7 linked regions of the Oryzias latipes genome follow. The protein of the gene in region 2 interacts with the protein of the main gene of each other region in a biochemical or structural test. Links are inferred from orthologs where the notes say so. Each region holds a gene or a part of one and is shown on either strand. Other genes may lie near its edges.

Region 1 (4,417 bases), on a different chromosome or scaffold from region 2:
AAAGCCAATTCACAGCAACGTGAAGTTTCCATTAGAACAGATATAAATCCAGATCTTAACCAAAACAGCAAACAATAGGATTCACTTTAGACAGAGATCATCTGCCCATTTTTTAACACTTGACACGGCACAGAGACAAACAAGACCAATGTAAGAATTGTATGTTTGCAGGCGTGTGTAACAGCGTAGTGAGACAATAAACATGTAATTCTGCTCTTAATCACTACAAAAGTTATCTGTGCTGAATCCAAACCCAAAACTGCAGCAAGACAAATAAATCACAATATGATCAAAACCCAAGCACGCACGCACACACACACACACACACAAACATACATTTATACACACAAATTAAATGGTAAACGGCATATAATTGATTGAAATATGTCGAGCATTGATTTATTGTAACGTTGAAGATAATTAATCTAAATAATAGAATGTGTCAGAATATTAGCTTTTATCATCAAAATAATAGAAAAAGATGTTTACAACCTAAATGTTCAAATGCCTTCATTTCTATCACTTAGCTTGGTTAGGGCTCCTCTATGTGAATCACTGCATCAATGCACTGAGGATATGAAGCGTGTGGCTCTATGTAGAAGTAATGGAGGTTTCTATGTGCTGCCTTCACATTATCTGCATTATTGAGTCTGGTGTCTCATCTTCCTCCAAACAAGAGACAATAGATTCATAATAGGGTTCAGGTCAGGGGAATGTGCTATCAGCCACAGTAATACTATTAATTGAACCAGCTTTTGGTTCTTTTGGCAGAGTGGGCGGGCCCCATGTCCTGCAGGAAAATTGAATCTGCAGCTCCAATGAGCTCAACACCAAAAGGCAGCATGAAGTGCTACAGAACTTTGTGTAGACTTCAAAAAAACATGGACCTACATCATCCCTGACTGTGGAAGCTTCACAAGACCCTTCAGGCAACATCGGGTCTGTGCGTCTCCAAATGAAATACAACCTTTACTTTTGGACCACTAAGCATCTGTCTGGTTCTTTTCTAATGAGCCCAGGTAAAAAACAAAAAACAAAAAAAAACGTCTAACTCTGATGATGGTGAAATAAATCAGAATTTTGCATGGATTTTCTCTGTTGAAAGTCTTTTTTCTTTCCACTCTATTTTCTGTTAATATGCTTGGACAGATTAACTACCATGATTGCATATGGACTTACATTTGTCTGATACATTTGAAGGTTCAGGAAACCTTTGCAAAAATAATCCGTTACAGTTTTTGATACTTTTTATTTTGTCATTTTCTTCTTAATGTACCTAAAGTTGATGAAATGCTCTGGTTTTAAGGTAAATGCATTGATTTGTAACTGCTGGTGCCTTTAAGAACATGTGCAAGTTTGATTTTCTCATCCCCACAGAAAATTCTTTTTTGTTAGAATCCCACAATAAAAGCACAAGTGAACTGATCCATCTTCAACACCTAAAGGTTGTGATCCTTTGTTCTGGTGTTATGATTAAGAAAACCCGACACGAACGGCTAGGAGAGAAAAATCAAACTAGTTTCTGACCTTTTTGCAAATTGCCGATTGCCTCATCGTAGTTCTCCAGCTCCAGGTGACACTGGCCCAGGAAGAAGTGGGCTTTAACAGACTGACTATCCAGCTCCAGTGCATGCTTACAATCTGTCAGAGCCTTGTCATACTGCTGCAGCTTCACGTGGCAGAGGGCCCTGTTGGTGTAGTATACTGCCACTGATGGATTGCGGTTCTGGAAGACACAATGGGGAAAATAAAGAGTATTTACGCGCAAACTGTTTAGTCTTCGCCATTAGTGTTTGGATGAGAAATCCCAGACGCTTACAATAGCTTTACTATAGCAAGAGGCAGCATCCTGGTACTTGCGGCAGAGGAAAAGCCGGTTCCCCTGCTCCTTGAACTCCTGCGCGGTGGAACTCTTCTCCGGGCTGCCGGCCATCTTCTCCACCGGCTCCGCGGGGCCCGCTTCGCCCTGTTTCCCTATCCTGTTCCCCGTCTCTTCGGCTGGCTAGACAACAGGTTTTCAGAACGTCCCGTCCGGCTTGGATCTCACACACTAAAACACAGGCGCGTGCTGAGTTAGCGATGCACCTGCAATGCGCTGCTTCTTCAACGATCTCTCGGCGCAACGCTGCTGCTTGGTGCCGCTCAGAATGCATTCATTCGGGTTTGCTGACAGTGCACGCCGCTGAAAATCACAGCTAGACTGCCGGCGAATTAACTATTCACATTCGGAAATCGATGGCCATCAGCGAGCACAGCTATTTAAAAAAAATCCAGAACCATTAATTTACACATCCACTCAGGTTTCGAGTAAAAACACCAGATACAAGATAATATATTTAAGTTAACGAAAAATTGTATATTATTGTTACACGACAAGAAACACAAAAATAAGATTGCTAACTTACAAACAAACAGAGGAGGAGAATCGATGCTATGCTAAAATTAGCTAAGCTTTTATCTTGAAATTATTTTGTTTGGGGACATAGTACAGCTTTTGTGTCTCTAATCAATTTTATTGACATTTAATTTAGGGTAGATTCTGGTGAATTGAAGCAGAGGATAGTAAAACCATAACTACTTGTTCAAGGATTTCAATATTTACCACAACGCAGCTCGGTTTCTTCAAAAAACATAAACTAGCTAGTGCTAGCTTAGCCTTTTTGCATTACAGTTGCTTCACGTCCGTTTCAGTTTGTTGGAGGCTTAAATAAAGTTTTACATAGTACCCACCCTTACCTTTAATCAGAAATTTTACATTCAGCTCAAACAGATTTAATTTAGTTTGATATAAAATCGTTACGGATTATTTTTACCACCCGTACGAACTGTCAAGACGGAATGTTGTGGTGCTGACGTCAAACGCTTTACGCTCTAACAACGGAAGCCGAGAGCACACGAATCCTGATGGGAGTTTGCGCAGAGGTTATCTTCAAGTATCATAACAATGTAAAGTTTCTGTGCTCATTTCTGTAAAAGTACTGTGGGAACAAACCCTCATCTGTATTGGGACTGCTCTCATAATTTGGCTTTATAGAATGCCAGCCCTTTATCTTTAATCCTAAATTAATCATAGAGGGTCATTGGAGCTGTGAGAAGAGCATGCAAACAACGTGAAACAGGGGCCTTCTATATGTGAGAAGACCCTGGTATCAGTGCTAGTGGTTAGAACTAACATAGCTGACTACTGATACAAGTAACCACACCTTATCTCTGAGTGATGGTTAGTTGTATAGAAAATAGGTACTGACCTTACATTACGTTAGACAAAATACTATAACAACACCCTATCAAATAAAAGTGTTTGTTTATATCTGATTCGAAATTATTAGTAAAATAATTGATATTAATGGAAATAATTTATTATTATTATTTTGTCTTCCTTAAACTTCTGTTATTGCACTAATCCAAAAGCATTGAAGATGATAAATCTGTTCTATTTGATTTGGTGCTTTTTATGTCTTTACTCATTTTTCACTTTTTATATTAGCTTGATGCCAAATTTTAACATGAGACTTTGCTTATGTTAAGAGAAGCATAAAAATTCATTTTTTTTCTGTATCGCTTTGTCCCTTTCGGGGTCACGGGGCTGCCGGAGCCTATCTCGGCTACTTTGGCGTAGGCAGGGGATGCCCTGGACAGGTCGCCAGTCTGTCCAGGGCAGACTGCGTTTTTTATGCTTTTATGCTGCTGTAAGCATAAAAATGTAATTGAAAAAAAAAAACGTATATATTTTTTAACATTCAGAAAAGTATTTTTTTCTCAAATATGGTTTGAAAATGAAATGAAGCCACACCTAAATATTTCCTGTTATTTTTATGCATCTTTACAATCACTCATTTAAATCTGAATAAGCAAAAATATGAGAGCAAGAAATGGAAAGATGGGTTTACCTGAGGTTGTTTGAGACGTTTATACAAATCTGAAATGTGTAAAGAGGAGTTATTTTAAAAAATATGATCAGAAATATTTGCATTTTTTGCAGTTGAACTACCAATTTTACACACCAAGATACAGAAAAAGACAACTGGGTGGTTTCTCATTGCACTTGTAAAAGATCAGCACAGGAAATCTAGTGTATTGGCCAGAAGATGGCATCATCGGGCTACTCGTTTTTTTAAATGTGAGTCAAATCTTTAATGTAATCTGTTATTAAGTAGTTTAGTACAATATTATGAATTACCATTGCATCACTGTGTTATGTAGTGACTCTAATAAAGATATGTGCCAAATAAAGATGTGTGCCAAAATAAATTTGATGATACATTTATACTTATTCTGGATTCAGTTGACAAATGTAAACATTTTTAAATCATCAAAGGGATTTTTCAGCAACGGTTATAATATTAAAAACATTTTTTATGAATCAGTTTTCTTGAGACATCCAACTCACAAAGAAACTGCAGATAACATTTTGGTC
Region 2 (4,428 bases):
TTTACATCTTTGATCAATCGAGTAAAGCCCTGTTTTGTTAGATGCTCGCCTCCTATGTAGACTGGGTCATGTGGAGAAAAATTATTATTTAATTATTATTATTTATTATTATTATTATTTATTTTTTTGCTAAACAGCAATACTCAGCCGACAGCAACATTTGCCTCTTATTAAGGCGGAAAACATTTTATTTAGATGTCAAAAATTGGAATTGAGGTCATCTCTAAATATAATCTCACTAGGTATGCCCTCACCAGATTAAACTAAGACTAGGGCCCTTTCAGAGGGGGCTGCAGCAGCCGTTAAAACAGTATTACAACAAAATTAAGGACATTTTGGCTAATGTAACACAAAATCTGAGACAAATGAACCAATTGCACAACGTGCAACGACAACAATTGAACTAAATATACGTTCAATGTTTGACCTGAAATATAGGAATGATGATAACAATCAGGATTTGTGTACCATTTAAAACCACACACATAATAAGCAGAGCTAAAAATAACTGGAGTCAGTGTTCACAGCTTGGGATGAACCATCACAACCGAACCCTCTGCTTTGTTTCTAGTGCACACTGTGGCCTTATGTTGTAAATATAGATACACACATACAGGTAGTGTTTTTCCCGGTTTACTTTCACCCTCCCTCCCAAAAAAAAAAACCCCTTTTCCAGTTACCTCTATTGTGTTTTACCCCAAAACGTGCAGTCTCCGAGGGCAATATTTACTGTAAAGTAGTACTGGCTAGCTGTCACGGGAGCCATGATTAATATGCAGAAAAGTTTTTTTTTTTAACTGTACTCTGCAGGACAAGAGCTTTTATCCATCCACAAGACAGTATTTAACTTTGGGGGTGAAATACAGTCCCCATATTTAATTTTATAGGCGGTTACGCCACTCAAACTCCAATGAAAACAATCAGCTCCAAACCCTGAGTTTGAAGTGTGGATAAAAACTTTATCAGCAGCGTAGCACTGTTTGATGACGTATGGGAACGTGTTAAGGTAGCAGAGCATTAACAAATAAAAGCTGAATTAAACGAAGACCGTGTCTAACATGGCAACTCTACCAGTGGGTAACGGTGATGTTATGTGAGGCCTTATAGTTCCTGTTACAACAGTTAGAGTCTGAAGGCCCTCAGAGGCGAACCGTTTCGCCAATAAGTGAAGTCCAAAGCTATCCTAGTACTCGGTTTCCCTTCGTTTCGAGAGTCCATTTTTGTGTCCGCGTGCGCTCCGTGGAAGTAAATTAACTCCTCGCGCGAGCTAGCAAACACAAGCAAGACATGCTGCAAGCTGCAGCCAGTACGTGCTCACCAAGAGAAGTTCAAAAACTTGGGCTCCGCCATAACTTCAGGAAAAAGTGGCGTCGGTGACATCATCAGGATTTTTTTTTTGCAACGCATTCAAAGAAAAGATGGAGAGAACGTCAGGACTGCTGAAACGGGGGGAGACGTGTATCCGCCGGTTCGGTTGTGTCGAATAATCCTCTGCGTCCGGAGAATGTTGCATTCATATAAAGGTCACAGGCGAGTCTCTTTCACGGAAAACTTTCCTTCTTCCTCGTCTCCCGGTGGTTAAATTGGAACAAAAATGTTGTTCGCATAAAAAGTCAGACTGTACTGAGATTTTTTTTAATTCACCTTTAAAGTCGAACCTCCATTAGTTTCTGCAAGTGCTCCATTATTTACATTGTTTAGATTTGAAGGCGTGCGTCCGCCCGACGCCACGGATTGAAACTAGACCTTGCAGTCAAAACAAGACCTGCAAGCATCGCTCACGCTGACTGCGCAGCTGGAGGACCAGCCGAAGTCCTCCCACTTCTTCGGCTTTATTCGTAAATAATTGAAAAGAAACAGTTTTGTCTGTAATACAGACCTGTGAAGTCATATTTTACACCGGATTTCGTCCATTCTTATCCCCCAGTAAGTGTTCGTTTAGGCTATTTTGCTTCAAAAGCGCATTTATGTTTACTTACGTTTGCAAATCTTTCAGAAAACGCAAAAAGCTAATGGACTTACACCGGAGGTCTTCATTGGTTTACGCTCATGGCTAATAAGTATTTCATTACATTTCCAAGCGCGCCACCTGGTGGCACAGACGGGTTATTGCAACCCTGAAATTTATCTGCTTCTTTGTAGTAAATCTGAGCCAAAACTGACATATTTGGTCTAAAAATATCAATAAACCACAATGTGAAGCCATGTAATATAAATAATCACAATACAAACTGGTATTTTAGCCAAGTAGAACAAAAGAACCACGTCATTACTTGTTCTACCTTTGTAAGATCTTTAACCATAATAATTTCTGGCAAGTAATGTCCATTTATTCTTAAAGCAGTATCATTCTGAAAACATACCAAACTTATCTCACCATGTGATCATCATCTCTGTGACGTCCTGGCCTGAAAGGATCCTCCGAGGTCCCCTTATCCCAGATGGCTCCAGTATCCTCCAAAGCAATGAAGGAGTTTTATCATCATACCAGGCAGTGTGTTGTGTCCTGAGCGCTGGATATCTCCATGAGCAGCTCTTTGCACAGTTTTACCAAGACAATAAAGCCACAAAGCTGTAGGTTTATTCTATACTTTCCCAATAAACACTTTTCATCTGTAACTATCCGTAACTTCACATTTCACCCATCTTCTCCGACAGCAGGCTTTTCTAACCCAATCTCAGAAGTAACTGAAACACAGAAATACTAAACAGTGTTCCAGTGAGGATGGGGCAGGGCTTTGTCATGGGGCTGGCTTTTAAGGTGCTCCAGCCCATATGCAGAACCACAACTCTGTTTTTAGTGACGCTGAATAAAATCCATCATTTTACACAATCCAGATCGATCCATTACAAGTTATTAGACATGATCAGATTTAATAGGATGCAAAAATGAGATATTAGACAAATCAAACGACGAAAGCTTTCCATCCAAATCCACCTTAAGACTGGTGAAAGCGTCTCTTCCACGTATTGATCTAGGAGAGCACTCAGGACAGTTAGCTGAGATGTTTTCAGCTCCTATGACATGTGTACCTTTCAATACTCAAAAATAAATAGAAGACTGATGAAATATTAAAGTTTATTGTTTTACAAACAAACAATGACATAAACTATAGGTTGAATTGACCCATTATTAGTTTAATTCCAGTAAACAGCTTAAGGATCTGTCTTTTTACTTTATTTCTTTAAATTTGGCTTATTTGGAATAAAGATAATTGTAATACAGCTGTTGTTTACAGTCTATTAAAATCGGAGTTATTCAGTTATTTACTTTCACATTTCTCATGTATTTTAATTTTTTTTAATGAAAAAGTGTTAAAATATTTTTTTTAATTCAGCCACTAAAAATCAAACCTCCATGCAATTTCCAAATTGCATGAATGTAGATCCAAAACCAGATTGGTTGACATTAAAAATGTGTTAATTACATAAAGAGTTTCCCCCTTAATTTTAACATGAATTTAGCTTGGCTTCAATTGTATTATGTTTCTCTTAAACTTTAAAGTGCTGCCATGTTTGGTGTTCTTCCTAGCATACGGGCGGTACTCGCACTTCCAGATGTTTTAGATGTCTGAAATGAAGCGAAGAGAAAACGACTAATTTAGCGGAGGAGGGAAAAATATGGACCGTCTCATCTCAACGATTAGCCTATTTGGAGGGGCGGTGTCCAGGCTTCTTGGTCTGTGATTGGTTACTTGGCGAGCACGTAGCCAATCAGAGGGCGAGTTTTTACTGGATACTGTGAATGACAATTCAGGAACTCCTGCCTGCACCGCATGCAGCGCAGAGGAGGAGGCGTAAACAGTGACATAGCTAGGTAGCCATAAAGGTAAGCAATAAAACGGCTTTGCGATATTATAACCGTTTGGTGTTAAAGGTCTTTTGCAACATTTGTATTTATGAATCAAAATGTCAACCAGCGTAGACGTTTGATTAATTTTGTTGTGAATACGGCTTACTGTCAATTTGTTTGCTCTCACTAACTCAGCATCGGCTTCGTAGTCCGGCCTGCTAACGTTAGCACATCACAACGACTTTGGTGAGTGCGCCCTGGCGGGAAATTTCGTTTATACGCAATATTGAATCTGATACTCCTGGAAAAACACTTAGCGCAAGGAACTATCGATAATAACCCCGGATCGGCATCCTTTTACTGGGCAGCGATGATTGATCGTCGACTGAACCGCGTTTCTTGGTCATGAGGTGGTTAGCTGAGCTCGCGTGCGCTAGCCAGCAACGGTCTCGCGAGTGCGCAGAAAAATCAACGTGACTAGGCCGACGCTCATGCTGCCTCAACCTCTGGCATTTCTGTTGCTGTGAGCGCCTAAACGCTTCAGAGCCACATGTTCTGTGTTGGGCAATTTACACACGAAACCCCCCACAAGGTATTTAAAACAGCATAAAGCGTTTCACTGTTTGCAAAACGCC
Region 3 (3,152 bases), on a different chromosome or scaffold from region 2:
GGCTTTGGGTTAGGAAGTAATGGATCCAAAAAGAGTTTAATTTGTAGGTAGGCCTAAATTTTTAATTTAAGATGGCAGCCTCTTCCAGGGGTCAAAGGTCAACAAAACGTGCTTATGGCATGTCACATCACTCAAACTAAAGTTCTCTTTTCCTATATAAATGCGAAAATCACCAAATTTCACACTTTACCACAAAGGGCTGCCAAGCCATAGGTCATGTGGCCATCCCATAATTTCAAAACTTGCTTTGGATATCCCTGCATTAGTGGTTTTTTAATATAATTTCTTTCGGCCCCATAAGACGTTTTGGCCACATTAATTCTTTTGTATGGTTTCTCTCGCTTTGATGTCCCTCTTTTTTATTTTTTTTACTTTGGGCCCCCAAAATGAACAAGGTGGGGGTCAGATTTTGGTGAGTTTTTTTGTCCAAAGGTGCAGTTAGAAAGATCTGGTTTTTGCCGTCCTGCAGGGCAGAATAATCTTCTTAAAGAGATAACGACTCAAAGAAAGTGGGTGTTTGGATTTATTGCAGGCGACTTTGATGAAGCGTTTTGCTTTACAGCTTTTTATATTGGACCTTCGTGGTGTTTCTACTTTCCGGCCAGCTGTTCGTACAGTTTGGGGACGTAGTCGTCCCACTCGGCCTGGTAGCAGGTTCCCGCCACCGGAGCGTCCAGGTTGTATTTCTGCCTGAAGGTCTGGATCTTGAACTTTCCTCGGCCGTCTCCGGAGCGGTTGGTGAGGACCTTCTCGGAGCAGGACAGGCTGCCGGGCTGCTCGTACACCAGCCACACGTACCTGTGCAGACCTGAGGAGGAAAGACAAAAAAAGAACCACCTCAGTGGAGGACGGCCTCCGATCTGCATGAATGCATCCACCTGCTGCGGTCCCACCTGTGCCTTTAGGGGGTCCAGAGCCCACGTAGTCTGACAGGACGCAGCCGGAGGACACGTCGTTGCCCTTCATGTTCACCACCAAGAAGTGATGCCACTCCCTGTTTTTTTTATATATATTTTAATGCAAAATTACGATTGTGGCCTTAAAAATATGTCAGTTTTAACGTGAAAAGTTCAAAAAGCTTCACCTAAATTTGGGGTCTTTCCTGCTGGGAGCATCCGGGTCGGTCAAAGCCAAAGTGTACAGTTTACTCGGGTCACATCCGTCCCACTCCACGCTGGTGGGTCTATTCTGCACCTAAACACGAGTTCAGAGGTCAGTGTCCGAGAGGGGGCGCTGTTTCACCGCTGCAGACCCGCTGCAAGCTGACTGTGACCCAGTTTGAGGTTTCCAGGCGTTCCCCCCCAAACTAGCGTTAGCTGCTAGCTCACGCACCTGCGTGGGAGTGAACACTTTCCCGAGCTCGTCGATCTCCAGAGAACCGTACTTCACCACCAGAGGCACCGCGGGCTTCTCCTCCACCTCCTGCAGGGCCAGAGCCCCGGACCACTGGCTCAGATCGATGGGCATTTCGCGGCGTTCCTCTCTGCGTCTGAGGCGCGCGCTGCACACAGGAGAAAGCCCTAAAAGTGATGCGTTCAAGTACCACACGGACAAACCAATTTAAGATACGAATGCACTTCATAACGTGTTCGACAAAACACGAAATAACCAACAGTATCTCCTAAGAAGATTGAATAAATTAATGTACACTTTTCTGGTGTGTGTGTTGGGGGGGGGGGGGGGGGGGGCTGCAAACACTGGCTTTTAATGTTTAAGTTGAACTGTATTATTTATTAAGACGACATGCACATTTCTGATACTTATCATCTAAAGATTGTATTTTTATAACATAAGAAATCAGTCACCGTTTTTAATACTCAAATATCTTAGATTTCTTAATTTAATTGTAGATTTTTACATACAATTCATGGCAGTGATGAGTTGTAATTTCCTAACACGGATTTTTCCTACATTTTCTGTGCATTTGAACGCAATACAATGTCAAATCCAACTGTGACCGCCAGAGGGCGCAGTCGAGTCACGGCAGCTTGATTCTTGATTTGCTTCAAGAATTGTCAATCAGTGTGCTGTTCCTCCTGGTGTCCTCCCCCAGGGTTTAAACACCACCCCCACTCCACGTGCTCCTTTCACTTTCTCTGATTTAGTTCCAAGTTGATTTCTTTAAAACGGATACAAAGCCGGTTTCTGCTGTGGTTACAGTTAGAATAAAAACTATTTATTACCAGGCTAATGTAATCCAGTCCTATTTGGAAGAAAATGAAATTAATTGACTATTTCTCAAACTGTTATTCTAAAAAAAAACAAAAAAGGTTAAACAACATCCACCTGCTCCATTCCAATTAGTGCTATATTATAAATAATCTCATTGCTGTGTAATAATTCAAGTTGGATGATTTAATTATTAATACGCCAGAATTTTGTCCCTCACAGACCCCTTACTTCTTCATTTAGAAGTCTTTCCATCTTCCACTATTAATGTCACCTGTTTGAAATGGTTACCTGTATAAAAGACACCTGTCCACACCTTTAAACAGTCCACTGTGACCAATATGCCAAAGAGCTGTCAAAGGATACCGGGAACTAGATTGGACAACTGAAAGACTGAAAAGACTAGGATGAACTAATGAGCGAGCAGCTTGGTGAGAAGAGATCAACTGTTGGAGCAAAATGAAATACAAAAACACTGAGGATGTCCCTTCACCGGGAGCTCCATGAAAGATCTCACCTGGTGGAGTCTAAAAGATCATGAAAACGGTGAGGAAACGGACTGTCATCTCCAGACCTGCTCCTCATGAGCCACCGCCCCGCTTGTTTTGCCCCAAACCGCGATTCAGTAATTCCCGATTAACGGGATTAAGTGAGCCCAATTTCTGATTGGCCGAACACACCGGATCCAAGTAATTACTGATGCAGGGCTAACTGCAAAACAATCAGGGCAGGGTTGGAGACCACTGGACTAGAACAACGGGGGGGAACTGGTCAATGACCTGAAAAGAGCTGGAACCACAGTAACTAAGGTTACTGATGGTAATGTGCTGTGTCGTCATGGATTCAGATCTCACAGTGCTCCAAGGGCCCCCCTGCTTAAACCAGCACATGTCAAGAACTGTGTAAAAGTCTCCAGAGACCATCAGGATGATCCAGAGAAGGGTTGGTAGGTCATGTGGTCAGATGAGACCAAAATGGAACTT
Region 4 (4,331 bases), on a different chromosome or scaffold from region 2:
TCGGCGTGGGTCTTTGGGCTAGACCCTCTATCCTAGTGTCAAACTGTGTAGCCACAAGGGGTTGCACGTCTAGTATAATAAATATTTACTATTTTTACAAAGAGTAAGTAGTAATTTCCTGCAGTAGATCTCCATCCACTATAGTAAACAGTGAGTTACTATTTGCAAATAGAGTTAAAAACTGAGCGCACGCCGTTTCTTTAAACCAAAAGAACATGGACTGGACATTGTTTCCCACAATGCATTTCATTTTTGTAGTTAAATTGGACGTGTAAGGGCATATACATATATAGAAAACAAAATACCTTGTCTCTAGAGTCTAGAGGGACTCGAACTTACAATCTTTGAATCTCTTGTCAACGATTTATTTAGACATCCACTCTGCAAAAGCTGCTTGTTGATAGAGTTCAAGCTCGCTAATTCTTGGAATTGATTTCCAATCAAATCACACATTTTTGCTGATGGGGTTACCTGTTGCAGGTGCTAAAGGTATTTTTCATTTGGTGGTTTATACTAGATGTCCTCCGTTGTAGGTAAACCAGCTGTGTTTTTCCGCTAATGGAAACGTGTAGTAAAATAACAAGTAAATCCCCTTTAATCTAACAATTAAAAAGTTATTTATGTGTGTTCATCTTTTAAATCAACAGTCAGATTTTTTAATATTGTCAATACATCTGTATTTTTCACATAAATAATTTATTTTATGTTATTCTGCTGTAGTACATTAAATAGACCATTATGATGTTTTAATGTGCAAAATCTCCAAAGTTTAATTTAGTGTATATTTCCGTTAGTAACAAATGTCATATACTATTAGGCATGCATATTTCACACATGGCAGAAGAGATCATGAAAGCCACGAGGCCGACATAAAACCTCCAAAATCGCACACGTTCCAAGCGGGGCTCGAACTTGCAACTTCAGGGTGTGTGTTATGAAAGTTGGAAACTTTATATCGACTTACGGGCGCTGTCCTTTTCCCACAATGCATCACGTGTTTGTAGTTAACGCAGTATTTGAGGCGCATAAACTGTAAAAGTAAAAAAGTGCGACTCTGGTGGGACTCGAACCCACAACCTTTGAATCTCTTTTGATCGATTTAGCTAGAAGTCCAATGCGCTATCCATTGCGCCACAGAGCCGGTTGGTCGAGTCAAGGTCTGCATAGAAAGCAAAATTTTCAACATTCGTGACTGACTGTCGGCGTTGGAAAGTTTAAGGATCAAACATTCAAACAGAAAAACACGCTTCGACATTATTTTTTAAATCTGTCTCTATATATTTATACGTATGTATATGGATAAAAAGGACCTTTTGAAATGCAGCGGAAAATCAGTCCGTCATTTCCGGTGCTGACCGGAAGTAGTTAGCTGTTAGCGGAGATAGCCGGGTGACTTGTGTTGAGGTTGAAGAACAAACACAAAGACATGTCTGATCAAACGATAAACCTGATAGTCAACTACGGTAAGAAAACGTTTTGAATTTTAAACAAACGGAGACTGAAGCGGCTCCGAGTCTTAGATGTGACTGTAGCTCAGAAATCCTTTGCTTGTTGTTGTGTAGCCCAAACGCAAAAACCGGTTCTAGGAAAAACTTCTGCTGATCATGATGTGAAATGAACTATTTACTGTTAGGCATTGAATGTCTCAGCAAACTGCTTTACCTGTCTGCTCAAAATTCGAATTATGTTCATTTTTAATTGTGGATTCATAACAAATATAACGTGTCATCAAATGCTAAAAATAGCAGAAAAAAGGTTCAAATCAAAAGACTAATGAGGATCAGACTCTACAAATGGGTTTGATTATAATAAACTTTCAAGAAGTCTCACTTCATTACAGATTTTAAATGAAATAAATTGTAATTGATTAATTTTTGTTGGCTTCACAACTGAGGTTTGGCGATATGAATTCACACAAACCTGTTTTATTTATGTTCACAACGTTATGACAACTGCATGAATGTCTGTTGATCAGGTTCAGTAAAACACAACATCAAACTAACGAGTCCAGATGACGGCAACGGGCCGGCAGTGAAGGATTTATCAGAAGCTGTCTGTCAGGCCACCGGCGTTCCCCCCGCCTCTCAAAAACTCATCTTCAAAGGTTTGGGTTTGACCTACATTCTTTTTTTTTTTTTTTTTTGAATGCATCCCATAATTAGGCCTTGACTCCATGTCGCGGCATTGTGATAGTTTCTGAAAACGAAGATCTAAAGTGATCAACCAGCTGAGCGTTGTTGCAGTGTCGTGGTGATGCAGACAAAAACGGTTGTCGTGGTTACCAGTTTCTTTAATTTGCTAAAAACTATACATAAGGAAGACCAAATCTTTATTTCTGTATTTTCTTTGACTTGGTGCGTCTGCAATTTTTTGCTAACATATTCTTCTTTCTTCAGGGAAGTCTCTGAAAGAGATGGACGAGAGGCTTTCCACCTACGGGATCAAAGACGGCTGCAAACTCATGATGATCGGGAAACGGGTAAGACGCTCGGGCGCCGCCCCTGATTGAGTTGGCGTGCGCACATCCCACTGACAACGCTGTACAAACAGAACAGTCCGGAGGAAGAAGCTGAGCTGAAGAAGCTGAAAGACATTGAGAAGTCGGTGGAAGTGACCGCCAAGAAGCTGGAGAAGGTGGACGGGGAGTTGACGGGACTGAAGAACGTGAGCCACAGATCCTGGAGGGAGAAAAGCATCGTCAGATGGGTCGTTTCTTTGAGGTTTCACCTCTTTTCTTTGCTCTGCAGGGCTTCTTGGCCAAAGACCTCCAAGCTGAGGCTTTGAGCAAACTTGACCAGAGAGTTAAAGTTGCTGCTGAGCAGTTCATGAAGATTCTGGAGCAGATAGACGCCATAGTAATCTCTTTTTGGATTGAGCTTTTTATCCCTCGAGTGTTGGTCATTTCTAACACACTCCTCTCTCTCTCTCTCTTTCCTCTAAAGTCTGTCCCGGAGAATTTTAACGACTTCAGAGTGAAGAAAAGGGGCCTCATAAAAACCGTGCAGGTTAGCCAGTAGGTTTCTTTTTTTCTGCTTTTACTGACGACGCTAAAAAAAATTGACTCCTATTTTTCTGTTTTTCGTGGCCTCAGGACTTCCTGGCCCAGTGCGACAGGCTGGAGGCGGGTATATCAGACCACCTATCAAAGACCCAGTCCAAGAACTTGGCTCTGGCAGACTGAAGCTGCTTCCCTTACTGTGTGCTATCTGTTGCTCTGTGAGCAAAGTGTACCAACGGCTTCAGATGTGGAGCAGATTTTATTTATTTCTCGGTGTGATGTGCTTCATAACGAAAGGAGACTTTGCTGAGATCATGAGGGTCAGCCGTAGGTGAAGATGCGTCTCAGACTCAGACATGGACTGGAGCGTCGGTGGTGCTTTGATGTTTACCGTAGATCAAATCCTCCGTCTGTCCTGTGGCGTTTTCCTCCCATCGGCCTTCAGCTGTTCCTCTCGGTCGCCGCCAGCCTGATCCACAGAAGTAAGTGAACCCTCTTTAGATGTTTCCACCACGTCAACTTGAAGAGGTTTGTGAATTTACAGAGTTGTATTTTTGTTATAAAAAAAGGAGAAAGTCAAATTAGGCAAATCACATCATCATCAACTGACTTCTACTGTACATGTTCATCAAAATCACGACGACTGCAGAAAAATGAATAAATTTTAAGCCAAAAAGACAGATCTCCAATGTTTGGACGTTTATTTCTGAAGTCCCGCTCCCATCATCTTCTGATCGATTTTCCCAGCATTCCTTAATGATGATGCCATTTTTAGCCAAAATCAGAGTAAGCCAGCCCCCACTTCCCATCGCCCATCCTTTTATACAGTGAGCTTAATGGAAAGACCCACTCTGGGGAAACTGGTGTGTTTCTTTAACCTCTTCTTGGGGCATTTTTCTGATGATGGAGGACAAATATTTAAAAGAAATTCAGCTTAAATTGCAAATCTGAGGATTTCTTTATTCAACTTGTTGTGAATCAGGAGCAGGCGAAAAAAAATGACGCTTGAAATCAACCCAAGAGACCCTGTGATCGCAAGGTCATCCGCTCTGGAACACGGCGCCAAGTCATCCACCGTTCGCTCCAGGAGTTCCATCCTTAGATCTTTTTGATCGATGATGGCCTTTGGCTCCTGGGTCTCTTCTTCCACAAGGTGTTTTCAGATGTTTTACCACTTCACTGACGACCTTTGACATGAAGTTCAGAGATTCCTTAATATCTGCAATTTCAGCAGCTAATTTGGTTTTACTGGTCATGTTGCTCCGAGTCTCGGTTAAAGATGAAGCTGCTCTGCTCAGTCCTCTTCTTTTTGGACACAGTAACTGCTAATCGT
Region 5 (4,418 bases), on a different chromosome or scaffold from region 2:
GCCGCCCCAGTGCTCCTCACCTTCCTCATCTCCTGCACAAGGCAGATGTCACGTTCAAATCCGGGAAGCGACTCTCGTCTGCCGCCCCGCCCCCTCGCCACCCGCTCTTACCCCTTTATCCAGCAGGCTGTCAAACTCGTCGCTCATCCGTCGGAGCTGCTGACCGTACTTTTTGGCGGCCCACAGAGCCGGAGGGGCCGACTTGGATCTGCCCCTGAAGGCCAACCCATCAGTGGGGGTTCCGGCCTCGTCTTCCCGCGCGAGGTCCTCATCTCTGGAGTACGTGGAAGCGGTGGACTCTGAATTCAGCCTGGTACGCCCGTTACCTTTATGACAGGTAAGGACAAAATGTTAACGAACGTTGAAAAAGTACGGGTAACCTGGGAGACCTGAAGACAGAGGAAACACCCCTTCAAGGGTTCTGCTGTGTCTGAATTGCCACTTATGAGGGGAATCTACAATCCCAAAATGCATTGGGAGTTAGGCAGCAGTGAGGGAATTCGGCCTCATTTTCCCCTTTTTATGTTGCCTGTTAGTTTATAAAAAATGTAAAAAATAAAGTTTTGGTCAAATATAATGATGCTGCGCCATGAAACGTACGAGCTAAAAACATAAGGAAAATAACAATCAGACAAATAGTATCTGATGCCACGTTTGCCACGTCCCGTGAGGCTCCACTGATTCGTGCGCAAACACAGACAACCCGGTTCTGTTCCATTTTAAATCATTTCAAAAACTGTTAAATAGTGACTTTTTCTGCAGTTACTAGTCACTTTGTTGATTGTAGGCTACAGCTGCAGATGCTGACGGCTCCATCCTCAGAAGACTCCAACCAGAGGCCGTTGAACCCTTTAACGCCGCTGCTTTAGCTCTTTCGACGACCGTAATTCATTAAGCAGTCGCACAATTGACGTCACTTCAGCTGTTTCCGATGCATAGAAAAGCAGCCGTGCGAAACTTTACAGTAGTGAGCTGCTGATCGGTGCAAAGCTGCCTTTTTCTGCGTCAGAATCCGCAGTTTGAGCTGAATCGTGTGGACAGTCCAGAGAGTCTCACTGTCGACAGTTTCCATGCAGCAGCAGCTTCCAAAACAAAACAAGTCAAACTCTTTCTACTCAACTTGAGATTTAACGTTTTTGGGGTCGTGATCCCACTCTGTTACGCGGCTCATCTATCGCTGTCTCACTGTTTCGTGGATCTTTGTAGTGCAATTCAGTATGTGTATTGTTTTATACAGCACACTGCGTTCTGATTGGCTGTAGACCTTGTGGATCTCATTTGTGCCACAGTTACATCTTTGTTTTCATTCTATAATATTGGACTTATTTTCTACGAAGGCTTGAGATTTGAGAGTTAAAAAAAAGAGAGAAAAGTCTGGATATGAAAAGAATCAAACTTTATCGATATTTAGAATGTAACTCCATGATAAACAAGAAAACACTGTACTGACTGCACACAATCTCTGATTGTGTTCACATTTAGGTGAGACAGTGATTACCTTACCACTAGGAAAAGTTTTGTTCCCTTTTTGTTCTTCCAGCAGGTATTAGTTTCTCCTTCAGCGTCTATTTCTTTTTGTGTCATCTAAATGGCACTACAATTTAAACTGCATATTTATATTTCATAAATATAAAAAAAACAACAACAACGCTTTATTAAAGACAATGTTTATCCTTGAGAAAATTATCCATCCCCTATCAATGACAGCTTTTTCTATATGGGGTCCTAACAAAAACTGAAGTACAAGCCATTCACTGTATAGTGAGGAAATACCGTCCATCCAGCTCCAATGAAACAAAGTCAATGTCGTCGCCAAAATGTTGGCAATGCGTGGGACAATGTTAGTAAACTCTGATTGGTCTGAGTCAAAGTTTCTATGGAAACCACTCACCAATCAGGAGAGAGCTTGTTAAAGGTCTACAGCCCTATCATTTGGGAGAATCAGTCAGTGAAATGTTTGACATGAAACCACATGCTTTTATTGAGGCATCTGAAGGCTCAGATTATAACTGAAATAATTTGCACTATAGAAAAAAATATAATTATTAAAAAAAAGGATCATATAGAGTCAGCAATAGTTGATTATTTCGCAATAGAAGTCTATAAGACTTTGTCTTCTTGGAGCCAGCAGGGATTTCCTGTTTGGAACGTGAGGTGGGAGGGGTCGCTCAGTCCAGTTCTTGCATACAGTGACCCTATAAAACAGCTAACCGCTCCACCTCAGGATCCCAAAAAATCCGAATCCTGCTGCCTTAAGACTGGAATTTTCTCAAACAACTCTTAAAAGTGCTTCTCATTTCCCATAATGCTTTTGGTCTGCTTACTTGTGAGTCGAAGCTCTGGCAGGGTGAGGGAATGTCGATCATGAAGGTGCTCCCCTTCTCCTCCTGCTGCCGCTCCCAGGTCAAGTTTTCCTCCCTCTACCTCCTCGGATGACTCCGAATCGTCTGAGATGGTGAACTTTGCTGCCATCGTAACATCTGCAGAAAAAAAGGTGTTTTGAGGACACGTTGTTCCAATAATTCACTACCAGAGAAGCTTGATGATCATTTTAAACGAAGACCATCACAAATCAAATACTATTTTTCTTTCACATTTGAAGCCGAAATGAAATAGAAATTGAGCTAGGCCCAACTTTCCACTCCTAGAGTCATAAAATGTCTATTAGCTAAATGAATTATGTGTCTACCTGTAACACACCCAGCTGCCTATCAGTGGTTGAGTCCAAAGGTATTAAAAAAATAACAACTCCACGAGATAAGGACACAACTTTGACAGCACGCGCTTCGTTAAGATGTTATAACGTACTTTGTTTTTCGTAGTTCAACGCGCTCGCGAGCTGTGCTCTTCGTCGACACACTGCCTCGTTTGTTTTGTGTTGTTGTTGACCGAAGAGCAAGAGGACAAAAGAAACTTCATACAGGGCGGAAGCGGTCCCCTCCACCTTCCGCGCAGCTAAAGAGAACCTCCTGGAAGTAGTTTTTCTCACCCGAAATCTCTGCGGCGTCCGCTCCGGAGGTGGGAAAGAGTCTCCGAAGTTAGCTTCGAGCGGCAGAAACTGCTTGTTGTTAATGTTTTGGTGTTCTCTGCCCGCGGCACATTACACCCCTGCTCCGCTTTCGCCCAATCGCCGCGCGCCCCTGCACTTTCGCAGCGCGCTGACGTCACTGTTGCGAGCTAGGACTTGTTTGTCTGGTCTGGTTACCGTAATGACCAGAGAAGAAGCGCAGAACCAAAAAGCTCCTCATTTTCACCCCTCCCCCTTTTTTTCTGCCAAAACTCACGACGTCACAAGTTGAGTGCTGGCACTACTCGAGTCGCAGATTCTGTCTTCGGAGAGGAATAAAACAGGGGTGTACTGTCTCTGTATACCTGTTTCTTCTGGTTGCACACGTTTTCTGCAGATAAATAAAATTGAGAATATTGATGGGATTTCTATTGCTGGTAAAAACATTCTTGTAAGTCAACTGGCAGATGAATCATTATTCTTAAACTCCTCACAGGTTTCTTCAAGTTATAGAAACATTTTCAAAAGCATCAGGACCTATCTAAACCTAAAGAAATGTGAGTTATTTCCTCTTAAACAATGTGCTCTAACATCCATAAATAGTATAGTAGTCAAAGAAAAAGTCACATATTTGGGATTGCAGATAACTAAAGAACAAAAACAAAGAGAACTGAATAACTATAATCCTATGATTGCAAAAGCACAAAATAAGTTTAATCGCTGGCTACAAAAAGGTCACGTCCTCTTAGCAAAAGCAGAAGGAATTTCCAGACTAGTCTACATTGTTTCCTCACTATCTCTGGACAGTTGTTTCACTTTCGGCTTGTCCCATCAGGGGTCGCCACAGCGAATCAGCCACTTCACAGTGGAAGATTCGCATGGTAGTCTTGGCAATGTTTTACGCCGGATGCCCTTCCTGACGCAACCCTCTCAAAGCAACCGGGCTTGGGACAGGTACAGAAGTAGAGAAGGGAAGAGGGTAAAAATGCAAAAAGGATTGATCAGATACTTTTTAACTTCCTTTGGAGAAATAGAATCCACTATGTACGATAATCAGTAGTAATTAATTCATCAAAAGACGGAGGACTTGACTTTCTTAACTTTTCCATTCTAAGTAATGTCATCAAAATGAAATGGTTAAAAAAACTTCTTAAAAAGTGAAACCTCATTTTAGAATTTCATATAAAAATACATATTTGATAAGCTTGGAGGTCTGCCATTTATTTTATTATGTAATTTAATAATGGAAAAAAATCCTTTAAAACTGTCTAATTTTCATAAGCAGGTTTTATTGGCATAGACTTTGATCTACAAACATAATTTTTCTACTCAGCGCTACTATATTTGGAACAATGCAGATATTCTATACAAAAACAAGAGTATTTGTCTTGAAAATTAGTTTGAAAAGAAC
Region 6 (4,360 bases), on a different chromosome or scaffold from region 2:
TGCCTTGGAAGAATAAGCACAGTAAGTTTACATCATCTCACAAAGGCGACTAGTTGGTCTTTTCCATCTTTAGATTACCACTGAGTAAGAAGCCAAAGCTAAATCTTTGGGTTCATTTAGGATAAACAGAACCGAACATGATCAACTGTCGTTGGCCTGGAGTTGACAGCAGTAACCCTTACTATTTTTCTTAGAAACCTCATTTACCAGCTGTTCTATAAAGCTCATCAATCAAGCAGTTTGAATGATTATTTGAGCACAAGTCAATGTTTTTGTTGTCCTGAATAATGTAAAAGACCCGGAGGAAAGAAAAAAAAAAAATCAAAACATTGGAACTTAACGGTGAATGTTGTACAAATGTCACATAAAATATCTGTTGCAAAAAAATGTGACAATGTTAGACTTAAGCTTGCAACTATGCACCAATACCAACAAAGCATAACAAATGAAGGAAAAACATTCAGCTCAGGCGATGCAGAAACACAGTTTGTTTTTGTTGTTTCAAATATGTGACTTATTACACATTTATAATTCAAATTTGTACTCAAAAAGTTTAAAGAAATGATGGTGTTTATTGGCAAGCTGTTTTACATTAAATGAGACTGGGGTACAGTAAGTGAATACAATTGCAAACAACAAATCCATTGTGATCACTCCTTTGTTTCTTCCGGCTCCCGTTTCACCTCTTCATAGGTCCCTTCTTCCTCCTTTCCTTCCCCAGAGTTGGGGACCCACAGACCTGAGTCAATGCAACGCTTCATATGATGTTTTGCCTCCTAAAAGACACGACAGTCACATGTTAACAGGGATTTCTTAAAAAAAAAAAAAGCACCTAAATCCAAAAAGATTCAACCAGACAAAACTGTATAGCTTACAGTTGGATCCATTTTACTGATGACTTCTTGTAACATTTGGATGTCCTTCTCATCAAAGCATTTCTGCATTTCCTGTGGTTGAAGGCAAACTATGTGAGCATTTCAAACTCAATAGAGACAAAAAATGAAACCCTGCTTGTTAGAATGCACTTACAGCAGGCAGCGACTCATACACTTCAACTGGATCCAGGCCTCCAGGCCCCAACCGCTTCTGCCGCTCCTCTTCCTCGTATTCTTTCAGGGCCTTTTCTATGCGAATCTTTGCTCTTCCTCTCACCCGTTCTTTAAACGCCTCAAGCTCGTCGTTAAAAGCATCTTGGTATTGCTGATCTGCGGTCTGTAAGAAAACAAATGAACAAATGTGAACATTCCAAACCAGAAGTATAAAATTTTACAGAAACTTCTGGTAAAAAAAAAAGGACTTTTAAAATAATCTGTTTTAGTCCAGGAATAACAGACAGACTGCCTTTGATTTTTGTACTGCTTGTTTATGAAAGCACCCTTTCTTTTCCTGCCCAAACATCTTCTTTAAAATGAATAAGTTCAGAGCAATTAAACACAATAAAATTAAATAAACTTGCTTACTTTAATCTTTGCAAAAAACTGACGGAAGCAACCGCGGGGATCCACTTTGAGGCTTTTTGCCAACTCAAGAATGAACTGCATGACAATGGTCTGATGGGCCACCTGCTCCATCAGTGCGTGTTTCTGCAAATAGGAAAGCAAAGCTTTACTAAGAAATGAAAAACCTAAACAGCTGCAAACAGGAGCACACACTTTGAGGAGAAGATATGCTAAAAAACAAAGATACAAGAATATAAAATAAAAATATAAGTATATGTGTTTACCTCCTCAACTTCCAGATCAATGCACATGATGACGAGATAGTTAGCGGTTTCTTCACATACAAGATGAGGATTGTCAGAGAGATACTTTTGGCTGTCGTCCCATCGTCGCAACATCCCTGTAAGTTAATAAAAATAGACTTAAATTGTTTTTAAAGAAGGGAAAAGACAACAGAATGACCTTATGGAAGTTACTCAGGCTTACCGAAATGTTTAATCTGCTTCTCGTGTTTTTCAACAAATGTTTTGTGTTTTTTCTCCTTTTCTTCTTCCGTATCTTCCGAAGTTTCAGGTTTTATGTTCACTATGCTCTATAAGCGAGAACAAAGATCAAGATTTGACACCATCTAGCATTGATTTGAAATAACTACTTTGTTTATAAAATGTCAACGGACTAATGTGAGCTTCATTGGATTTTCCAACCTCTTGCTAGAAAACCACAGGTTTCTATCTGCATATAGAAGTCACCTTGCTGAACCCTTCCTTGCTGAGTGTGTCCACGTTCCACGGCATCTTCTTCTCCTCCCTGTAGTACTCATCCAGCTTTTTCTCCCAGTCCCGCTCCTCTTTTTTCAGCTTCTTCTCATCGGCTTGGTATTTGGTGAGCTCTGTTTTGACACCATCGGAAAGGTTCAGGTCCTGGATCTTTGTCTGTAACTCCGTGAGTTTACGCCGACATTCGGCGAGTCCTTTTTTTAGGTCTTCGCCTTTCTTCTGGAATTCTTCCATTCGCTCCACGCGCGCCTAAGGAACAGATCACACGCGTGAACATCATGTGTAAACAATTTCAAATACTCATCAGCTCTTGTCCAGTTTGAGTTCAAATTCAGGAATCCGAAGTAAGTAGGAAAATTAGCATGGCTGAAGAATTACAAGCAGAAAGTGAAAGCTAACGATCACGCTAAGCACTTTTCCGAAAAGCTTTTATATTTACCTGGTGTCTCCATCTGAAGAGACTGGGAGTGTCAATATTTGGGTGGGTATCATCTTCATCATCCGATACCTCAATGTGATCCCACACGCTGTAATCTATCCTGGACATCCTGCAGCAAGAAGAAGCAGCGCTAGCTTCGACTAGAACTCGGTTAAGTTGGCGTCTAAATCACGCTCGCTAAAATACCGACCTAAGAAATATTCACACTCGAACCCTTCAGAAATGTGTGTTGGTGCTCTGTGTTTCTGTACTCCAAATTTGGTCGTGCGAATTGATTTGTTACTCCCAAGCAAGAGCTAACGGGAAGCTGCTACAGAGTTCTAGAAGAAATTCTCCCCAAAGCTTCCGTTTACGTCATACGTAAGGCGCGTACATTGTACGTCGTAATTTAGACACCGGAAACAATGACCAAAAACGGAAAATATTTGGTTTTCATAGTTTTAATCTGAAAGACTGTGATGCTTTCTTTTGTATAAACATGTTGTTATTTATGGCTAAATTTGATATTCATAAAAGCAAATTCTCCTATAAAAAACTGATTTATTTGTGTTAAAACTGGAACTGCAGCAATATTTAAACTTAATTTCAGCTTCAAAAAACACAAAAGCTCAAAAAACAATTAACATTTGTAAATCTTTTGGAATAATAACACAAGTTTACTCTCGCATTTTCTCTTTTTATTTTATCATTTTTTTTCTATGTTTAGTTCTATTTTCTTTATTTATTTTAATTTTTTATTCCCTTTTGTGATTGTTAGAAATAATTAGAATCTTCTTAAGCATGTAACACGTTTATTCTGTATTCAGAATTGTAATGTACATTATCTGTGCATAATTGTTGCATTTCTTTGTTCTGTATGTTGCAATTGTTCAATAAAAATTAAAGAAAAGGGAAATTATATTTAAATATAAAAAAGAAAGAAAAGCACCATGACCCGAATGATTACATTTTTCAAGGCGAATTAAGAATAAATTAGAATGCTGATCTGAACACATATTAGAAGATTATTATTTTTACATATAAGATTTAGAAAATGTACCTACGTAATATGGTAAACTAAGAGTATGATATTCATTTGCTTACTGCTATTTTTCGTTCTTGATATAAATGGCCAGATATGATTTTTATATAGTTATGTTTCAGATATAGATGTGTGCTCCAGACTGATAGATGATAATTTAGTTTGTCCGTTCCCAAGAAGGAAAAGTTCAAGTTCTAAGAAAGGAAAACAAGATCAGTTTGTGAATGTTTTCCTTTTTTCTTCATCGCCGGTGTTGCGATCATAACCTGTGACAACACGTTTGAATAAAATAGCTAGAAAATGTTCAATCTAACAGAGAAAAGAAGATGAACTAGACAATTTTATATACTTTTTATTTCCATTGAATGCAAGTCATCAGCAGGTGGTGTCAGCTATTTTTGCTCGGTTTGAAGTTTGTCAGTTTGGAGTCTTTGAAACCTGAGCAGCAGACGGAGTTTCCAGTTTGCGCTGCACAGCACCGCTGCATCTCTCGGATCACATCCTCGCATTTACTTTCCACATACTTGTTAGCTGTGAGATGAGAACAAAAAGTTCACAAATTTGTTTGAGATTTGCATTAGAAGAGCACAACAACAACGTCAATGTGTACCTTGTAAACACGTTTGAATGGCACATGCTTGCTTTTGACACGGATCTTTCTGTGGCATATCTAAAGGAAAACATG
Region 7 (4,185 bases), on a different chromosome or scaffold from region 2:
TTCTACAAAAGCATCTGTCAGGATTTTGCTGGATGCACAAAATCATTCAGAGACTAGAGCTGCATCTGAATTACAACTGCTATCAGCGATACTTATGTCTTTCAGCGAACCAGTTTGATGACTTGCTGTCCAGAGGAGGGAAAAATAGGAATAAAATCAGAGGATCTTTTTTGAATATTTTTGTCTTGATACAAATAAGAATACGATGTTTCCTAAAGAAGTGATTGCAACAATTAGATTTCTTCCATGTTGGTTTTGGACACCAGCCGCTGCTCACATATTCAACATGTAACTATTAAAGCTGACTTCCTGATTATGTGATGCAAAGCTTTGCCAAAGTTCAGATATTTGAACTCTAGAAAAATTGTGCCGTGAGAGCACTGCGCTTCAAGCAGCACATGACTTCACATTATGTCTTTACGTTGACTTAACATTAAAACTGGGTCAATTGCATTCAGTGTGAACACAACATGACAAATTAAACAAGAACTTGTACCTTTGCTGCCTGTGATGACGGGCACATTGCGTGGACGTGAGCGGCAATCAAAGATGACCGGCTTCTGAACCCAGGGAATGAGAAAGTGAGTTCCTTCTCCAACCACAATGTCCTGCACTCCTCTGAACCGGTCAAATATTACAGCCCGGTGCCCTGCATCAACTACAAACAAACCAACAGTCAGTCATTTCAAACATGATTACATTTTAGCAGGAAGGGCTCCTTTTAGTTTTAGACAAAGAACTGCTATTAGAGGCCAATATATGGTCAGAATTATGCACTGGTAGATTATCAGTGCATATTATAAGTTTAATACACAATGTTGACAAAATTTAATTAACAGAATAATTATGACTAAACAAAGAACACATTTTTATAATGCAAAAACAAAATAGATGGATTTATTTCAAATAAGGACAATTCAATAATTGAAGGTGGTCATCCTGGCTAAAGAAAGTAAAACTTTTGTGATATTTAGATGGTCCTCAGTAACTCTGTGGTTCAAAGTCATCCTTTTGACCCAGTGGAGACCTCAGTGTTTTGTAAATAAAGCTGAATTTGTGACAATCAAAGATGTAAAATTGACTATGACATTAATTAGGACAAATATGTTATATCGGTTGCTGGAGTGAGCTTTTTCCACGTAAGGCTACTTTAAAGAATAAGCCCTTTAAAGCTTTCTTAGACTTTGCAGGCGTTTACTAGCACTTGTTTATACTGTTGTGATGCTCTATAATGGGTGTTAGTCATGACACTTTTTTACCTGCAGTGGGACTAAACATTTGTTTGCTTGATGTGTCATTGAATCCCTTAAACAAAGCCACATCTCCACTTTTCTAGCCCGACTTCCAGTTAGTCTTTGGATTGACCTAAAGATTGTATTTGTTTCTAAAGCTATTAAAGGGTTAGGTGGTTTAAGGTGCCAGCATCCAGCGATTACTTACTTTTAGTTCCTCTTAAATTTCAGCTTAAGATTAGCAGAGATTTAGCTTTCTTAGCAACAGTGTCAGAGATGCAGATTCAACCTTGGCTGCATTTAAGTCTGCATTAGAAAACTACTTTTTTACTAAAATAAGAATAAAAACATTAGATAAAACCAATTTAAGAATTTGTATAGTGTGAAAAAAAATTTGTTTCCTCTCCAGTGTAAAGAAACAAGCACTATCATATGTTTTTTTTTTTTAGTATTTTAAAGGTTTAATGATTTTTCTATAGTTTTCTGTTTATTGTAAATCTATAATTAAATATAACTAAAACAAAGATTAAGAAATTATTAATAAATGTAAAGGAATTAGTCATGGACCTTTCAAACAGAAACAATGGGCCTATGTGGACCTACTGCTTACAAAGCTTCTCATTAAGTTTTGTATTTTTCAAGTATTTTTTTAAAGATCATTAATGCAATACATTTATGTCCCCTTCACAGGTCAACAGTGCAGCATGGTGTTAATGCAACATCCTCCACCGGTGTCAGTCAAGTAAACAATAAACATTTTCCTTAATTATGTCATTTTAAATATGAGTTATTGTGGAGAGACTGCATAAAACCCATTGTGTTATTCTGGAGTTATTTTTTTACATGGGGCTACAAAGTTAACAATAACTTGTTTCTAGTGTCAATACCATATTGGCGGGATTTAATGGGTTTAAACAAGTAACCAGGGATTTCAAACTCCTAAAAACAAAAGACAACAAGCAAATTGAGAGCTATTTTACCAATATAGAGTGAACCAGAACCCTCTTTCTTTAAATGACTCGTTTTTTTCTTTTTTAGACTCACCATTATAAAGTGCAGAATTCACAACGCCTCCTCCAATGGCGAGAGCCAGACCCAACTTTCCAATGGACTCAAATAATTTAGCCATGGCAGAAACCTGGAAGCGATGAAAACGAGGTCATCACACACGTTAACAAGAAAACAACTTCAGTACAGACTAACACAAGTCATCCAAGCCTTAACTGTCAGTAGAAAGTGGGTGTTTTAATAGTTTCTATCCAGTAACGGTTGCGTATGTGGCCTTGAATGATGTCAAAGCGGCAGAGATGGTGGCTAGGGTTAGCTCAGAAGCTAACATGAGTTTCGCAGTGATCGGTTCAGCGTATGGTTGCAACAGATAAAATTGAGTTTGGCACGTTAATGTTTACATAAAAGTGCGGCAAAAAGGCTTTTATCAAACAATCTAGTGGTGCCTCAGTACGCAAGCTAGCTTACGTTGGGCATGCATGATGGATTTGAGCAGGGCTGTTCCGTCTACCAAACATGTTTATTTATAAAAGCTATGCTTGAAACAACTCCGTAGCACTGCCTAAAAATGTGCAAAGTAATGTTTAGGGAAAAATCTCAAAAGTTGTCCGAGGCTTAATCGTGCTGTATCACATAACTCACCTTAGCTTTCTTGGATGCCTGTGACCTCCACCGGACACGACGTAGAGCACAAGGGATGCCTGTTCTACGGCGCATGCGCAAGAATGTTGCAACAAAGCCGCTGATTGGACAAAAACATGTCAATCTTCTTCTACGAATCTTCAATGCTGGTAGACTGTTAGTGGAAACATACTGACAGCGTCACCTACTGGTATATTTAAACTTAACAGTACAACAATACTAGAGGGAACAATGGATGGATGGATGGATGGCAATAAATGTACTTCCTCAAATCCTTAAACATTTCAAGTTAGGAATGGAAGTATAATTAAGTTATACAGCATTAATAAGGGAAAATTAGTTAAAATAAATCTAAATATAGTTAACGTTCATTATCATTTATTGTCACATGATACTTGTGTCAAATAACATTTTAGCCAATTAAAAAAATTTAAACATTTAAGAAAATGCATGTACAGTTGTTCAGAAAAGCATCATATGAGCACACCCCATTAAGAACTGATACAGACTCAAGACTTTCTACATTTTGACACAAGTGTATTTCTTGTTTAAATTTTTCTCCAAAGCTTTAACTTTCAATATTTAAAATGTTTCAAAACCTTTTTAAAATCGTGAAACATTGTTTTAAAAGTTTGGTTGCCATACTGACTATTACAATATTGTTTGAGTAAAAGGAAGTTTTTTTATGTTTTATTACCAACACAAAAGTTTTAAGAAAGTGTAATAAGACAAAGTCCAGCAAAACAATATCATATTTATTTAAAAAATATATTGTTTATAGCCAGCCTATTGTAAAATTAAATAATAAATGAACTCACACATTTTCTTTTTTTTATCTCCCTGGGACGTTCATTGAAACGTCGAAGTCACTTGCACACACACACAAACAAACACACACACACACGTTCATATAGCCTTGTGTCGCCCCCTATCGGACAAAAACGGCACTGCACGTAATCAGTTTCACTTTCCTTACGGCGTAAGGCTTACGCTGTGAGGAAAAGAATGACCATCTTTAAATGTTAGCGAAAGAAGACTACCGATCGTGGAGCATTTGTAAGGTCGGTAACGAAAGCATCTCATTGAAATTCACGGTTCATTTCTTCACCTTTTTTTTTTTGGTCGCTGGTTTTGCGACAGACGACGATCGTTTTGATTTATTTACTTCCTTAACTCTCGACCCTGCAGCAGACAGTATGACTTCCTCTGTCGTTTTTCCTACACGATCGTGCAGTTTTGTATTAAAACTTTTACTGGAAAGTAGAAAAGGGTATATATCTAAACATTTGAAGAAAAAATAAAT

Evidence for each region.
Region 1: of the proteins of raf1 (region 2) and stub1, one has a biochemical effect on the other in vitro, tested with the Homo sapiens proteins (4 studies listed by BioGRID, with this or other methods). The link is inferred for Oryzias latipes from reciprocal best matches to the Homo sapiens genes RAF1 and STUB1.
Region 3: the proteins of raf1 (region 2) and pebp1 form a complex in vitro, tested with the Homo sapiens proteins (3 studies listed by BioGRID and IntAct, with this or other methods). The link is inferred for Oryzias latipes from reciprocal best matches to the Homo sapiens genes RAF1 and PEBP1.
Region 4: the proteins of raf1 (region 2) and bag1 form a complex in vitro, tested with the Homo sapiens proteins (2 studies listed by BioGRID). The link is inferred for Oryzias latipes from reciprocal best matches to the Homo sapiens genes RAF1 and BAG1.
Region 5: of the proteins of raf1 (region 2) and bad, one has a biochemical effect on the other in vitro, tested with the Homo sapiens proteins (2 studies listed by BioGRID). The link is inferred for Oryzias latipes from reciprocal best matches to the Homo sapiens genes RAF1 and BAD.
Region 6: the proteins of raf1 (region 2) and cdc37 form a complex in vitro, tested with the Homo sapiens proteins (2 studies listed by BioGRID, with this or other methods). The link is inferred for Oryzias latipes from reciprocal best matches to the Homo sapiens genes RAF1 and CDC37.
Region 7: the proteins of raf1 (region 2) and phb form a complex in vitro, tested with the Homo sapiens proteins (2 studies listed by BioGRID). The link is inferred for Oryzias latipes from reciprocal best matches to the Homo sapiens genes RAF1 and PHB1.

Annotation. Positions count from the first base shown.
Region 1 is NC_019877.2:8,954,489-8,958,905, forward strand, and holds the start of stub1 (E3 ubiquitin-protein ligase CHIP), read right to left. Parts: upstream 2,874-4,417; 5' UTR 2,603-2,873; intron 2,051-2,602; 5' UTR 1,934-2,050; coding exon 1,820-1,933; intron 1,727-1,819; coding exon 1,528-1,726; intron 1-1,527. UniProt on the Homo sapiens protein: E3 ubiquitin-protein ligase which targets misfolded chaperone substrates towards proteasomal degradation.
Region 2 is NC_019865.2:17,676,202-17,680,629, reverse strand, and holds the start of raf1 (RAF proto-oncogene serine/threonine-protein kinase), read right to left. Parts: upstream 2,997-4,428; 5' UTR 2,364-2,996; intron 2,063-2,363; exon of another isoform or gene 1,980-2,062; intron 1,905-1,979; exon of another isoform or gene 1,880-1,904; intron 1,836-1,879; exon of another isoform or gene 1,319-1,835; intron 1-1,318. UniProt on the Homo sapiens protein: Serine/threonine-protein kinase that acts as a regulatory link between the membrane-associated Ras GTPases and the MAPK/ERK cascade, and this critical regulatory link functions as a switch determining cell fate decisions including proliferation, differentiation, apoptosis, survival and oncogenic transformation.
Region 3 is NC_019867.2:3,465,639-3,468,790, reverse strand, and holds pebp1 (phosphatidylethanolamine-binding protein 1), read right to left. Parts: upstream 1,542-3,152; 5' UTR 1,468-1,541; coding exon 1,333-1,467; intron 1,195-1,332; coding exon 1,085-1,194; intron 995-1,084; coding exon 894-994; intron 809-893; coding exon 591-808; 3' UTR 506-590; downstream 1-505.
Region 4 is NC_019875.2:29,408,179-29,412,509, forward strand, and holds bag1 (BAG family molecular chaperone regulator 1), read left to right. Parts: upstream 1-1,332; 5' UTR 1,333-1,426; coding exon 1,427-1,463; intron 1,464-1,975; coding exon 1,976-2,104; intron 2,105-2,396; coding exon 2,397-2,479; intron 2,480-2,550; coding exon 2,551-2,664; intron 2,665-2,747; coding exon 2,748-2,855; intron 2,856-2,942; coding exon 2,943-3,005; intron 3,006-3,091; coding exon 3,092-3,181; 3' UTR 3,182-3,680; downstream 3,681-4,331. UniProt on the Homo sapiens protein: Co-chaperone for HSP70 and HSC70 chaperone proteins. Acts as a nucleotide-exchange factor (NEF) promoting the release of ADP from the HSP70 and HSC70 proteins thereby triggering client/substrate protein release.
Region 5 is NC_019876.2:12,866,438-12,870,855, reverse strand, and holds the start of bad (bcl2-associated agonist of cell death), read right to left. Parts: upstream 2,984-4,418; 5' UTR 2,809-2,983; intron 2,481-2,808; 5' UTR 2,473-2,480; coding exon 2,325-2,472; intron 327-2,324; coding exon 112-326; intron 33-111; coding exon 1-32. UniProt on the Homo sapiens protein: Promotes cell death. Successfully competes for the binding to Bcl-X(L), Bcl-2 and Bcl-W, thereby affecting the level of heterodimerization of these proteins with BAX. Can reverse the death repressor activity of Bcl-X(L), but not that of Bcl-2.
Region 6 is NC_019866.2:8,382,863-8,387,222, forward strand, and holds the start of cdc37 (hsp90 co-chaperone Cdc37), read right to left. Parts: upstream 3,004-4,360; 5' UTR 2,845-3,003; intron 2,764-2,844; 5' UTR 2,763-2,763; coding exon 2,655-2,762; intron 2,465-2,654; coding exon 2,189-2,464; intron 2,032-2,188; coding exon 1,926-2,031; intron 1,840-1,925; coding exon 1,724-1,839; intron 1,584-1,723; coding exon 1,461-1,583; intron 1,213-1,460; coding exon 1,030-1,212; intron 948-1,029; coding exon 876-947; intron 777-875; coding exon 651-776; 3' UTR 1-650. Other genes in the region: cmc4 (cx9C motif-containing protein 4), read right to left, coding at 4,064-4,206, 4,286-4,343. UniProt on the Homo sapiens protein: Co-chaperone that binds to numerous kinases and promotes their interaction with the Hsp90 complex, resulting in stabilization and promotion of their activity. Inhibits HSP90AA1 ATPase activity.
Region 7 is NC_019866.2:5,517,364-5,521,548, forward strand, and holds the start of phb (prohibitin), read right to left. Parts: upstream 2,997-4,185; 5' UTR 2,958-2,996; coding exon 2,883-2,957; intron 2,371-2,882; coding exon 2,277-2,370; intron 659-2,276; coding exon 497-658; intron 1-496. Other genes in the region: uncharacterized protein LOC105354523, read left to right, coding at 3,902-3,943.